Oryctolagus cuniculus: one gene and its partners. The protein of the gene in region 2 purifies or fractionates together with the protein of the main gene of each other region. This does not show direct contact. Links are inferred from orthologs where the notes say so. Each region holds a gene or a part of one and is shown on either strand. Other genes may lie near its edges.

What was found.
Region 1: the proteins of MAP1LC3A (region 2) and CLTCL1 purify together in Homo sapiens (affinity purification with mass spectrometry; 3 studies listed by BioGRID and IntAct, with this or other methods). This does not show direct contact. The link is inferred for Oryctolagus cuniculus from reciprocal best matches to the Homo sapiens genes MAP1LC3A and CLTCL1.
Region 3: the proteins of MAP1LC3A (region 2) and CLTC purify together in Homo sapiens (affinity purification with mass spectrometry; 3 studies listed by BioGRID and IntAct, with this or other methods). This does not show direct contact. The link is inferred for Oryctolagus cuniculus from reciprocal best matches to the Homo sapiens genes MAP1LC3A and CLTC.

Annotation. Positions count from the first base shown.
Region 1 is NC_091452.1:27,070,979-27,075,312, forward strand, and holds the start of CLTCL1 (clathrin heavy chain 2), read right to left. Parts: upstream 2,870-4,334; 5' UTR 2,761-2,869; coding exon 2,719-2,760; intron 1-2,718. UniProt on the Homo sapiens protein: Clathrin is the major protein of the polyhedral coat of coated pits and vesicles. Two different adapter protein complexes link the clathrin lattice either to the plasma membrane or to the trans-Golgi network.
Region 2 is NC_091442.1:23,538,366-23,542,895, reverse strand, and holds the start of MAP1LC3A (microtubule-associated proteins 1A/1B light chain 3A), read left to right. Parts: upstream 1-1,576; 5' UTR 1,577-3,165; coding exon 3,166-3,205; intron 3,206-3,516; coding exon 3,517-3,572; intron 3,573-3,649; coding exon 3,650-3,756; intron 3,757-3,972; coding exon 3,973-4,135; 3' UTR 4,136-4,142; exon of another isoform or gene 4,143-4,398; 3' UTR 4,399-4,530. UniProt on the Homo sapiens protein: Ubiquitin-like modifier involved in formation of autophagosomal vacuoles (autophagosomes). While LC3s are involved in elongation of the phagophore membrane, the GABARAP/GATE-16 subfamily is essential for a later stage in autophagosome maturation.
Region 3 is NC_091448.1:34,909,750-34,914,332, reverse strand, and holds the start of CLTC (clathrin heavy chain 1), read right to left. Parts: upstream 2,870-4,583; 5' UTR 2,398-2,869; coding exon 2,356-2,397; intron 1-2,355. UniProt on the Homo sapiens protein: Clathrin is the major protein of the polyhedral coat of coated pits and vesicles. Two different adapter protein complexes link the clathrin lattice either to the plasma membrane or to the trans-Golgi network.

The sequences.
Region 1 (4,334 bases), on a different chromosome or scaffold from region 2:
AAATCACCTGAGTCAACTATGGTAAAAACGAGATTATCATCAGTTCCTAGGAAGATTCAGTGAAAAGAGATCTCTAATATATCCAGTCCAAAAGAAAGGGCTCAAGTCAGACACTGAGCCTGGGGGTTAAGAAGGCCCCATTCTTGGGGCTGGGCCTGGGGCTTGGCAGGTAAAGCCGTTGCCTGCAGTGATGGCATCCCAAGACCCAGCTGCTCCACTTCCAATTCAGCTCCCTGCTAAAGTCCTTGGGCCCCTGCACCTGTGTGGGAGACCTGAAAGAAGCTCCTGGCTCCTGAGTTTGGATAGGCACAGCTCCGGCCATTGTGGACAAACGGGGAGTGAACCAGCACATGGAAGACTTCTCTCTCTCTTTTTTTTTTTTTTGACAGGCAGAGTGGACAGTGAGAGAGAGAGAGACAGAGAGAAAGGTCTTCCTTTGCCGTTGGTTCACCCTCCAATGGCCGCCGCAGCCGGCGCGCTGCGGCCGGCGCACCGCGCTGATCCGATGGCAGGAGCCAGGAGCCAGGTGCTTCTCCTGGTCTCCTATGGGGTGCAGGGCCCAAGCACCTGGGCCATCCTCCACTGCACCCCCTGGCCACAGCAGAGAGCTGGCCTGGAAGAGGGGCAACCGGGACAGAATCCGGCGCCCCAACCGGGACTAGAACCCGGTGTGCCGGCGCCGCTAGGCGGAGGATTAGCCTAGTGAGCCGCGGCGCCGGCCGACTTCTCTCTCTTGGGGCTGGGTTTGGCATAGTAGGTAAGGTTGCTGGCTGAGACATCAGCATCCCATATGGACATCAAGCTCGAGTCCTGGCTGTTCCACTTCTGATCCAGCTCCACGCTAATGTGCTGGGAAAGCAGAGGATGGTCCAAGCCCTTGGGCCCCTGCACCCATGTGGGAGACCCAGGAGAAGCTCCTGGCTCCTGGCTCCAGGCTCCAGTCTGGCCCAGCCCCAGCAGACCACTGCCGCCACTGGAGGGGTAAACCAGCAGACGGAAAACCTCTCTTTCTCTGTAACTCTTTCAAATAAATAAATAAATACACACACACACACATTTTAAAAAGACAAATGGCCCAATAAATGGTAAGTATGAGGGGACTTCAAAAAGTTTGTGGAAAACAGAATAAAAAGGGAAGCTTATTTTGATAAAAAAAAAAATTTGAAACCCATGCAACAAAAAGTTCAGTAAAAATATATAGTACAAAAAAAAAACTGCATGGATTTCAAAGCCTTTTCTTGTGTCAAAATAAACTCACCTCTTTAAAAAAATTTTTTTTTTCTTTTTTAGGTTCTCGAAAGAGACAGAGAGAAAAAAACTCCCATCCACTGGTTCACTCCCCAAATGCCCACAATGGTCCAGGCTGCCTGGGGCCAAAGATGGAAACCAGGAACTCAATGCAAGACTCCCTCCTGGGTGGCAGGAGCTCCATTACTTGGGGCGTCACTGCTGCCCCCTGGGGATGCATTCCCGGGAGGCGGGAGGCGAGAGCCGGGAGCGGGGAGCCGGAGCCAAACCCACATCGTCTAGATCCGTGATGCGCGCTTCTCAGCTGCAGGGCTAAATGCCCGCCCCAAACTTCTTGTAATGCCACTGCCAATGAACTCTCCGAAGTACCCTCGTTTTATCAACAGGTACTCTGCTACCTCGCCTGACTGGCGCTGCCCCAGCTTAGGGAGAGAGATGGAGGTTCAAGGCTTCCACCCCCACCCTGTGCGACCTCAACCGGCTGACTCCCCAACTGATCTGGGCAGGATCATCCGGGCATCCCTTCCAAGGCACAGACAGAGGGGGCCGGACCGGTCCCCCTGAAACTCCCAAGTACCACCTCTCCATCAACCCCATTCCTGGCAGCTGCCACAGCTGTGTAGCCAAGAAGCCCGAAGTCTGAAGTCTGAATCCCGCTCTCGGTTTGCTGAATGAACATTGGTGCCCCCGGCGCTTCCTCATCCAGTACCCTAGGGGACTGTGATGATTTCAAAGGAAGCACTTAGCACGTAGCCCTCAGCTAGGGCCTCGGCAGCCTCAACCCCTCCCCCTGTAAGCGGACACCTTTTCACAGGTGCGCCCACCTTCCTGAACCACCCCCCTTCCAGCACGAATCTGCTGGGCAGAGCAAATGGGGACCTCACGGCAGAGCAAAACCTCGCGGGTGTTACAGCACCGGTGTGTTAGCAGGTGCCATACTCGAGGGTCCTAACGAAAGCACCTGTACTTGGATACCAGGGATGCTAACTGACAGGCAATAACAAACGCCGATCCTACGCATCCGAGACGGATTTGACTGTCTTGCCCCACCAGCCACCAGGGGGGACCGGGACAGATCCACAGACGGAAACTCAGCGGTGAGGGTCGCAAGACACAGAGAAGAGAATGGAAGCTGGACTCGGAGTTTCCAAGGCGTGCGGTGCGGTGCCCACCCCCGAGCTCTCCCAGCGCTCCGGACGCCGGGCGCCCCCCGCCGAGCCGCCGAGCGACAGCGCCCCGAAAGCGTCCGCACGCGCGGCTCCCGAGCCGGACCCCGACCCAGGTGTCCGCCCGCGGCTTGCGGCGGGGGGCCAGCGGCACCGCAGGGCGAGGGGCGCGGGGCCGTGAGACCAGAGGCCTGCCCCCCGGGCGGTCAGCCGGCCGGCCGGCCGGGGGGCGCGGCTGACAGGACCCAGCGCGCGACCCACCCCCCGGAGCCCGCCCGGCCGCGGCGTCGGGGCCCGACCTCACCTGGAAGTGCTCCTGGAAGCGGATGGGGAGGATCTGCGCCATGGTGGGCGCCGGGCCGAGGCGGTGGCGGCTCCCCTCGCGCGGACAGACCGGCGGCGGCGGCGGTGGCGGCGGCGGCGGCGCAGGCGCACTGTCCCGGGTCGCCGGCACCGCGCCCCCCGAGCGCGCGCCCTATGCGGATCCCTCCGCGCGCGCCCTATGAGGATCCCTCCGCCCGTCCGGAGGGTCCGCGAAAAGTAGTCCGGGGCGCCGCTGCTCTGGCCGGCGCCGCCCGCACCCTCCTCCTCGTCCCGGGCCTGGAGAGCGTTGGCGCTGTGGCCGGCTGGGTGCCCGGGGCAGTTGCGCGCCAAGGTGGCCTTGGCTTCGAGGGAGTGCGCGGGAAAGTGGACTGGGACCCCCTGGGCCGGCCCCTCCAGAGCAGGTGTGCGTGCGTGGGAGAGTGAACTCGGTTCCGAGAGTGTCCGGGGGCCGTGCAAGGTGAATTGAGTCCGGGGTCCGACCCGGACAAGTGCACATAGGCAAGCGAGGATGTGTCCTCGGCGGTGCCATGGGCAGGTGTGTGCTGGCCGGGCGCCGGGATCCCCTTCCCCAGAGCCTGGTTGTTCCGTGCGCCAGCCAGGGCCGTTTGTTGTTGTTGACAGAAGCGTACAGGGGAACCTTGAGAGTGTCTCAGAGCCTCAGATTTCAGATTGTCATGCAACACCATCAGCATGGGACATCCGCCCCTAGTCCTCTCCTTCCGGTTTTCAAGGCTGAGGACACTGAAGTGGACAGCCACTGGGATGTGCTCCACACTCAGCCAGGCGCTGCCTCTGGGATGGGGCTGCTGGGCCCAGACGGGGCACCCCCTGTGTGCACTGGGCTGGGCAGCACCTGTCCCCGTCACCCTCACCGGCTGCGGGCCACGTGGGGATCTCTCAGCCTGCAGCCCGTAGGTGCTCTGCAGTGTCATAACGGAGAGGGAGCAGGGAAAAGTCTGAGTGTGCCCCCTGGGGCGTGACCCCTGGTGGCTTTAATCAGCTTGTGACATCGGTGGCCCATGACTTCCGCCCAAGCCCATTCCAGCACAAGCATTGCTTGTGGACCACTGATAAGCCCGAGAGGGGACAGAACGGACAGCCTAGCAGCCCCCCGCCCCCCACCACCACCATGGTCGAGGCGTCCTCTGGCTGCTGCTGCTATTGTTAATCCCTCAGTGAGCACCCAGGGGCTGTGGAGGGCAGGGGCCAGGGGAAGCCGGGGCCGTGCTGGACAGAAGCTGCAGGAATGCCCCTTCCGCTAACAAAGCAGCCAGGTCACCGGCTGTCCCCTAAGTGCCCGGCTCTCGGGAGCTCCTGCTAACTACGGACGGAGCAGGGTGGCTCCACTTGGAAGTCGGCGGGCCTCTGGGGAGAATGCTTTGGAGCTGTGACAGTCACATCAGCAGTCCCAGCTAGGTGGCCAGGGCGGGGGAGAGCCCAGCCCGTGGGGGCCAGGTAGGATACCAGGACAATGGGGGTCGTTTTCAGCCAGGGGTCTTAATTTCGCCATTTTCCCCATTCTTGATGGCCTTGTGAGGCCCACTGTTCACCTGTTACACAGTAGGCGCTCTCACCCGAGGTCTCCTGGCTTACAAG
Region 2 (4,530 bases):
CTCCACTGCACTCCCTGGCCACAGCAGAGAGCTGGCCTGGAAGAGGGGCAACTGGGACACAATCCGGCGCCCCGACTGGGACCAGAACCCGGTGTGCCGGCACCGCAAGGCGGAGGATTAGCCTAGTGAGCTGCGGCACTGGCTTATGTTTGTTTTGATCTAAATATTTTTTTACTTCTAAATGATTTCACCTTTAGAGTTACAAGGAGGTTTAAGTTTCCAAACATTTGGAGTGTCTTTGGCTCTTGCCTGTGGTCGAAGAATACGGCCTGTGTGAGATTCACTATTTGCTATCCGTTAATGAGATTTGTTTTGGTCACTTTTTGTAGATGTCTCTTATATGATTCAAAGAACCATGCTGCGATAAAGGTCCTTTCAGCATCTCTGACCAGCATTAGTCATTGTATTAATATCTTCTAAATCCTTTGGGCGTTCAGTTTATTGGTTACTGTAAGAGGTATTTAAAGATTTATTTATTTATTTGAAAGTCAGAGTTACACATCTTCCATTTGCTGGTTCACTCCACAAATGGCTGCAATGGCAGGGCCTGGGCCAGGCTGAAGCCAGGAGCCAGGACCTCCTTCAAGGTCTCCCACATGGGTGCAGGGGTCCCAGGTCATTAGCAGGGAGCTGGATAGGAAGTAGAGCAGCCAGGACTCAAGCTGTGCCCATACAGTATGCCTGGGCTGCAGGCAGTGGCTTAACCCACAATGCCACAGTGCCAGCCCCGTGAAAGAGGTCTTAAAACTCTGCCTACAGGGGCCAGTGTGTGTCATAGCAGGTTAAGCCACCACCACCTACAACACCAGCATCCCACAGAGGTACTGGTTGTTGTCCCAGCTGCTCCATTTCCAATCCGTTTCCCTGCTAATGTGCCTGAAAAAGCAGCAAAAGATGGCTCAAGTGCTTGGCTCCTGCACCCTCATGGGAGACCCAGAAGAAGCTCCTGGCTTCAGCCCAGCCTAGCCCCAGCCACTGCAGCCACTGGGGGAGTGAATCAACAGATGGAAGATCTCTCTCCTATAACTCTGCCTTTCAAATAAACAAATCGCAAAACAACTCCCACTGCAATGGCAGAATTGGCAGTTCCTCCTATTAGTCTGTCATTTTTTTAAAAAAATATTTTATTTATTTATTTATTTTAGAGGTAGAGATTCAGACATTGAGAGGGAGAGACAGAGAGAAAGGTCTTCCATCTGCTGGTTCACTCACTCCCCCAGTGGGTGCAACAGTCAGGAGCCAGGACCTTCATCCAGGTCTCCCACTTGGGTGCAGGGGCCCAAGCACTTGGGCCATTTCTACTGCTTTCCCAAGCTTACTAGCAGGGAGCTGGACTGGAAGTGGGGCAGCCAGGACCTGACCAGGTGTCCATATAGAAAGCCAGCACCGCAGGCCAGGGCTTTACCCACTGTGCCACAACATGGACCCCCCATCTCCCAAACTCTTGAAATCACAGCTTATCAGTATTTTTCCTTTAGAGGTTAGAAGGTACTATTACATCTTTCTCAACTTTGTACACTTAGTGCCGAGAAGTTGGCTGTTGGCATAACGTTTTAAAGTGAATCCATCCTGGCCGGCGCCGCGGCTCACTAGGCTAATCCTCCACCTGCGGCGCCGGAACACCGGGTTCTAGTCCCGGTCGGGGCGCCGGATTCTGTCCCGGTTGCCCCTCTTCCAGGCCAGTTCTCTGCTGTGGCCAGGGAGTGCAGTGGAGGATGGCCCAAGTGCTTGGGCCCTGCACCCCATGGGAGACCAGGAGAAGCACCTGGCTCCTGCCTTCGGTGCCACGGTGGCCATTGGAGGGTGAACCAACGGCAAAGGAAAATCTTTCTCTCTGTCTCTCTCACTGTCCACTCTGCCTGTCAAAAAATAAAGAAAGAAGTGAATCCATCCTTTTGTGGTAGCTTTTAAGATCCAGCTTTTGGAGTTCTGAAATTCACTGCAAAGCTGTCTCGGTGCTGACTTTTTAGCTCGGCTTGCTCCAGGGTAGTCCCCCCCTCCCCCCCGATTTATTTATTTATTTGAAAGGCGGAGAGAAGAGGAGAGGGAGGGAAAAGAGAGGGGAGAGAGGGGAAGAGAAAAAGAAAGAAAAGTCTTCCATCCGCTGGTTCACTCCCCAGATGGCTGCAACGGCCAGAGCTGTGCCTATCTGAAGCCAGGAGCCAGGAGCTTCTTCCGGGTCTCCCACGTGGGTGCAGGGGCCCAAGGACTTGGGCCATCTTCCACTGCTTTCCCAGGCCATAGCAGAGAGCTGGATCAGAAGAGCAGCAGCCGGGACATGAACCAGGGCCCATATGGGATGGCGGCACTGCAGGAGGCAGCTTTATGCGCTGGCCCCCGGTCCAGGTTTTCCGTGGGAGCCGTGGTCTTGAGCAGCGTAGGGGGACCCGCCCCTGCTCTCCGCTGCCCTGCTCGGCCGGACCTCGGGTGCTCCCTGCCCCTCTGCCACGGGCCCCCGCTGTCCTCCACCACGGCCTCTGGGTGTTCTGGGCCCCCTCCAGCTCCGCGATGTTCTCTTCTGCTGTCTAACCTGCTTCCTTACCTCATCGTCTGAGGCCTGCGTTTGCACGGCTCGGTTTTTGAACTCTAGAATCCTTCCTCAGACCCAGGCATTGCTCCCCGGCGCCGTGCTTTCCTGGCGTTTAACCGCCCCGTCCCCTGAGCCTGGCTGTTCTCCTACCCCAGGCCTCCCGCGGGCCCCGCAGCGCCGAGGGGACGGGCCGTCCAGGGCGCGAGATGCGGGCGAGGCCGCGCCTTCCCTCAGCCGCCTCACTCCCACCTCGGTCTAAACCGGAGAGGAGCCGCGCGGGCCGTGATGTCACCGAACTGTGACGCGCCCCAGCGCACACAGACCCCAGCCCCTCCGCGTCTCTGCAGAGAATCCAGGCCCGCGGCGCCGTGACGTCATGGTCTGGGCGGGCGGCTTTTGCGTCGGGCCAATGGGAGCGACGCGCCGGCCTCCCCTTTAAGGAATGTTGTGACCTGACGTCACCGGAGCGAGTTACCTCCCGCCGCCGCTGCCGCCGCGTTCAGCGCGAGCCCCGGAGCCCTTGAGCGCGAGGCGCGGAGTCCCCGGAGACCCCGGATCACAGTCCCCGGATCACAGTCCCTTCCTCGAGCCGCGCGCCCCGGAGTCCCGGCTGCGCGCCCCACCGGGCCCGCGCGATGCCCTCAGACAGGCCTTTCAAGCAGCGGCGAAGCTTTGGTGAGGCCTGGCGGGCGATCCGGGGACAGGGGGTGGGAGATCCCTGGGGGGCAACCGACCCCCCAGTGCCGCAGGTGACGTCAGCCCCATGACGTCAGGCTCCGGCCTACCGGGTCTGTGAGGCCGCTCTGGCCTGGGCTGGGGCTACCCGCCTCCCCACCGTGTCCCCAGTCTGGGGCCGAGAGGCCGGACGGCTGGGGGCGGGGGCGGGGCGGGGCCGGGAGCCGCCCCTCGGAGACCGGCGGGCGGAGCCGCAGGGAGGACCTCAGGCCGGCCGGTCTCACCGCCCCGCCGCTGTCCGCTGTCCGCAGCCGACCGTTGTAAGGAGGTGCAGCAGATTCGTGACCAGCACCCCAGCAAGATCCCGGTGAGTCCCTCGGCCCCGGCCCGGCCCGGCCCCGCCCCCAGCCCTGGCTCATTTGTGGTCCACCTGCCCGCTCCCAGGTGATCATCGAGCGCTACAAGGGTGAGAAGCAGCTGCCAGTCCTGGACAAAACCAAGTTCCTGGTCCCGGATCACGTCAACATGAGCGAACTGGTTAAAATCATCCGGTGCGCAGGCAGCAGCTGCCCGAGGGGCTTGGGTCGGGTCTCCTGGAGGAGTGGAGTGAGGTCAGGGGCGTAGGCCTGGCCTTGGGCCTGCGTGCTGGGGAGCTGGGAAAAGCCAAGGCCCGAGCTTGAGTCCTTGTGGGGTGGGAGGTGAGGGCCTCTGGCAGGGAGCAGGGCCACCCTCCCTCACCACGGGTTTGCCCTTCCTGCCTGCCCCAGGCGCCGCCTGCAGCTGAACCCCACGCAGGCCTTCTTCCTGCTGGTGAACCAGCACAGCATGGTGAGCGTGTCCACGCCCATCGCCGACATCTACGAGCAGGAGAAAGACGAGGATGGCTTCCTCTACATGGTCTACGCCTCCCAGGAAACCTTCGGCTTCTGAGCCAGCAGTAGGGGGGAATTGGCCTGGGAGTGGGGGACCTGGTCAAGCTCTCCCCAGGGAGCGCCTGGCTCCTGAACTGAGCTGCCCCTGGTGGGCTGGGCAGGCATGTGGGCCCCTAGCCAGAGGGGCCCAAACAGCCCCCTCTGCTCCTCAGTGGATCTTGGGCCAGTCACATTAGGGTTGCCCCTCTGGGTGCTGGTTGGGATGGGGAGGGTGGAGAGCTGCCCCCAGCACCCCTGCTCTGTGTGGTTTGTTTTTTTTAGGCCCCTGCCTGTCTGCCCCTCATCCTCCTGAGGCTCTGTCCCCTGCCTGGACCTGTCCACCCCTGAAAGACTGGCCCCTGGCTCCCCCACCTCCACACGTGTATGGATCTGTGGTCACTGTCCCTCTGCAGA
Region 3 (4,583 bases), on a different chromosome or scaffold from region 2:
TTCTCTCTGTCTCTCTCACTGTCCACTCTGCCTGTCAAAAAGAAAAAAAAAAAACCGGCTTCTGACAACTTTGGCATTTGTGGCCATTTGGGGTGTGAACCAGCGGATGAAAGCTCTCTCTGAAAATCTGCCTTTCAAATAAAAAATCAAAAAATAGCCCTTATTTTAAAAAGGGAAGGAATAAAAATATGAAGAGCTATATTATTAAAATTTAGTAATTTGAACTCTGTGCAATTAATCACTATCAACTGGAGTCTACAGTCATATTAGCTAAGCTTAAGTTTGAGCATGATACAGAACTCCAAAAAAATGAGTAATAGAATTTTTCAATTATACTTCTTAAGCTGCTTTGTACTTAAAATCTTCAAATTATTAAGAAAATGGCTTCACTCAAGTATTAACAGAACCTCAAAACCACACCTGTATCAAATCTGTCTTCAATCAATGACACAGTTGGATTCAATTTTGAGGATCACTCAACAATCCTCTCCTCTTTAATGGAAATGAAAAGTGATTACTCAAACCACCACTGGTCAGCAAGATTTACCAGTGGGCTATAGCTGTGCCATGTAAAATAAACAGCAGCCACACCAGCTTCTCTTGGGTTATCATTACAAACATTTGTCTGCAGAAAGATATTTCAGATGTACTTTAGTGCGAGGAAGAGCCTGGGTTTCCCCTTCTCATGCAAGAACAGTACTTTCCTAATCCTCCACACTCATTTACCACCCCTTTTTTAACAGAGGTAATCACAGTAATTAAACTTGGATGGAGCACAAAAAATAACTTTTTCCAAGCCCGTTCTGTCACACCTAACATGTGTTAACCTTTCATAAAACTGTTTTTATAGCCAAGGTATATTCCATTACTTTACATGAGTTTTGGGTGACTGAACAAAGCTGTACTACTTAACTTACTTAATGGGTTAAAGATTTAGCATTCTTTACATTTCAAACCTTAAAGGAAAATAATGTCTTGCTAGTGCAAGCAAATGTGATGCCTGTAAAGAAATATGTAATTATTTTACTCGTAGCCTGAATATTAACTGTTCTATTGACAAGACTCTTTCTTTTGTTACACCAATGGGGGAAAGTACATAAAACTTCCTTGCGTGGAAAAGTATCCCATAGGTTACCAGAACCAGTCTCATTTTAAACCACTGCATCCTCGGATTAGGAAGTGAGTCCTGCCGTAGATGGCCCTGGGGCAGGCTTCTTTAAGGGGACATACGGGAAGAAACCAAGTTAATTTATTATTCCTGATGAGAATCCAGGATTGGTGAACCAGGGACATCAGAAGCTCAAAAAGAGGCCTAATTCAGCGAAGCCCTTCAATGATCACCTGCCTAGGCTAGCCATTGGCAAGCTGCCCAAAGAGACAACCGTAAGAATGTTGCCTCCAGGGTAAGGCACTTACGGAAGAACTCTAGAATCTACCAAGAAGAAACGAGTTACAGACCAACTCAGGGCAGGTGTGTCCTTAACCCCGGGCCTCTGTTCCATTCCATGCGATCCTGTCGGAGGCACTCAAGCCACACATTTCACAACCACCGGATGGACTCCTGAGGACCCCCCCCCCCCCAGATAACCTCTAGGTAACACTTTGCTACGTTCTGAACTCAAAAGGATTTAAGAGCCACACCACCCCCAAAGAAATCAAGAAAGGAAAACCAAGCGAGTTCCCCAGGGACCTTGACCCCACGCACTCTAAGACTGACCGCGCCCTGAAAACTGCGTCCCCCCATTCTATTCCTTCAGTGACCTTCTGTTCCTACTGCCTCGGGGAAGGCAAGGGACAAGCCACGGCCGCCACCCCCACCCCCCGCCCCCGGAAAGGTGCCTTTCTCAGTTGAGAGCCGCAGAGGGAGGAAGAAAAAAAGGTTGCTCCTCCCCAACTCACCCGCCCCGCAACTCCCGGGTGCAGACACGATGGGGGGAAAGGGAAGAGATGGGCAGTGGAGGGTGACAGCCCTGCACTGGCCCAGGGGATGATGAGAATGCTTGCTCCGGCCGGAAGAAACTCGGGAGAATTCCCCTCTCCCACTCCCCTATCCAAATGAATGAACTGAATAAAACGGGAAGGGGAGGGGGGATAACACGCGCAGTTCTTGCCTTCCAGGAAGCAAGACAGAAAGGCCCTCAGAGTCAGGCCTGGCTTGCCGGCCTTTACACCCCAACTCTCGTCCTTTCCACCCAAGCCCCATATCCTTTAACCCTTTAAGCTTTCCAAGATAGCGCCCCTTCCTCCACCTACGCCAAACACCGACACCCCTCCCTTCCTGCTCCGGCCCAGACCGTAGCTTCTTCCTTCCTACCACCGTCACCACAGCCCGCAGCAGCCCAGATCTAGCCGCACCTGGAGATGCTCCTGAAAACGAATTGGAAGAATCTGGGCCATGGCGCTGTCGGGGGGTAGAGTCTCCTCCTGTCACTGGGGCTTCGGGGCAGTGGCTGCCCGGGCTCTCCGAAGGGAGAGGAGGAGAAGGGGAGGGGGGAGGCTGGGCTCGGCAGGATACTCTCCGGGGACGCAGGAAACTGGCAGGCAGACGAGAGAGCTCGGGTCGGGGGCGGAGGCTCCAGGGGCCAGGAGAGCCGCAATGGCGGAACCGGGCGCAGCGCAGACTCCGGAAACGGCTGAGCCCTGCGGAAGGATCCCGGCGACAAAACTCCGCCCCGTCGCCTCACCCCCCCTCCGCCTTATGTACCCCTCCACGGAGCGCCGCGCCGCGGCCAGGCGCAGGGATTCGGGGCGCAGTGCGCTGGGGGCCTCGCTTCCTGATGCGACACCGGGGAAATAGAGGAACAGCAGGGACTACTTTTCTAGACTCATCACTTTCTCCAGGCTTCTGCTTTTCCCTCCCCCCCTTCCTTTTTTTTTTTTTTTGCATTTTGCCACATCATGCGACTCGGGGCGACCTACGTCATTTCCGTAGGCGCTTTGGGTCCCACCCACGTACTTCCAGGTGCACGTGATGCTGGTAGGGAAGGGTCGGCTGACGCTGCCAGAATGGGGCGCAAGTTCTAGGAGAATGCGGCGTCTCCTGGGAGTGAGGTGCCCGTTGGGCCACCTTGAGGCGCGGCGGCTGCCGTTTCTTTGCCCCTGCGTCCCCTGTTTGGACCGCGTCCCTGGCGGAGAGGACGTGGCGTGGGCACACGGGACCAGCCGCCCGCCCGCCCGGTGACTCGGCGAAACGGCGCCGCCGCTGCGCTCGCCGGCAGCTGGCTGCAGCCCGCCTCCCCCGCCCGCCTTGAGGCGGTGGGCGGCTGCTCCCCGCCCGGGGAGGGGGCGCAGAGGCCGCGTCGGAAGCCCTCGCCGCCCTTGCGCGCTGCCTGCTGACGGGGGGCGACCCCGAGGCGCGCACTCCTGACTGGAAGCGGCGCTCGCGTCAGGTGTTCCTTAGGCCCAAGGACAGTGAGGGCCGAGTGTGAGATGCCTCAGGCTCGCCTGTTCTCGCCACTTCTGCGGACATTTTGGCGGACTCGGATCGGCCTAGCTTACTACTCCGTGTATGTGGTGCTAGAGAATTTGCGTTCTCATACATAACCCTGAAGGGTTCGAGCAGAACTGGAGCAGGACATTGTAGCCACGGCAAATACTTCGTCTCAAAGATTTAGCTAATTCCGCCCCGAGTGGTCGGTAAAACCTGAAGGTCCTCCCCGGAGGACGAGGATTAAGTGTTAGCCGCGTCTCTCGGAGCGATCGCCTCGCCCTTGCCTGGCAGGTTAGCAGAGGGGGACAGGAGCGCTTGGAAGCCCGAGCACCGTGTCTTCTGACAGCTTTAAGGTATCTGCGGCATTCATTATCGACTGACAACCGAAGTCTAAGCTGCAACAGTTCAGCCCCAGTACAATAAAGAAGAGTTTAGTCCCGTGCTTTCCATCTTTAAAGAGATGCGATTTTTCCCCCCTCAGAAAGACCTTGAGAAAAATACTCAAGTCCACGATAATTATTTGTTGTGCCCTTTTCGATTAAGGAACACACAGCCCTATCGGGTGCGGAATTTTTTGTGTGTGAAGCAGTTTTTGCCTAGAGTGAGAAATGTGCTTAATCATTTCAGTTGCTTTCGTGCTTTTCCCAAAATACTGCCTCCCATGCTGAGGCTAGAATCTGGCAGGTAACAGGGCAGCCAGAAATCGTTCTGCAAAGAATAAGCCTTTGCCACCATGTTGTAAGAGGGGCTTCCTATGCTTGAAAATTTTCCTCTTGTATTAAGCCAGATACTTGATTCTGCAGCATTTGAATAGCAGTCTCATTGTAGCTGCTTCAAACCCTTTTTGGAAAGAGACAAATTCTAAAAAATTCTAAAGGAGTTATTGTTTTATTACAGTACTGCAGATGCTTAATCAGGTTACATTTTCAATCTCAGTCTGAGATACAAGAGCTATATTATGAATGGGCCACCAATATTTAATTATTAGTAAATGTCTTGCATTTTCATACAAACCATGTAATTGTAAGTACATTTAGAATCCTAAAAGCAATTGATTGTAACTCAGATATTTGGTGTGGAATATCTACTGAAAAGTACACTTACGTTTTGTTAAAGTGAATGCTGAGTCATCATACACAAGTCTAATGAATGC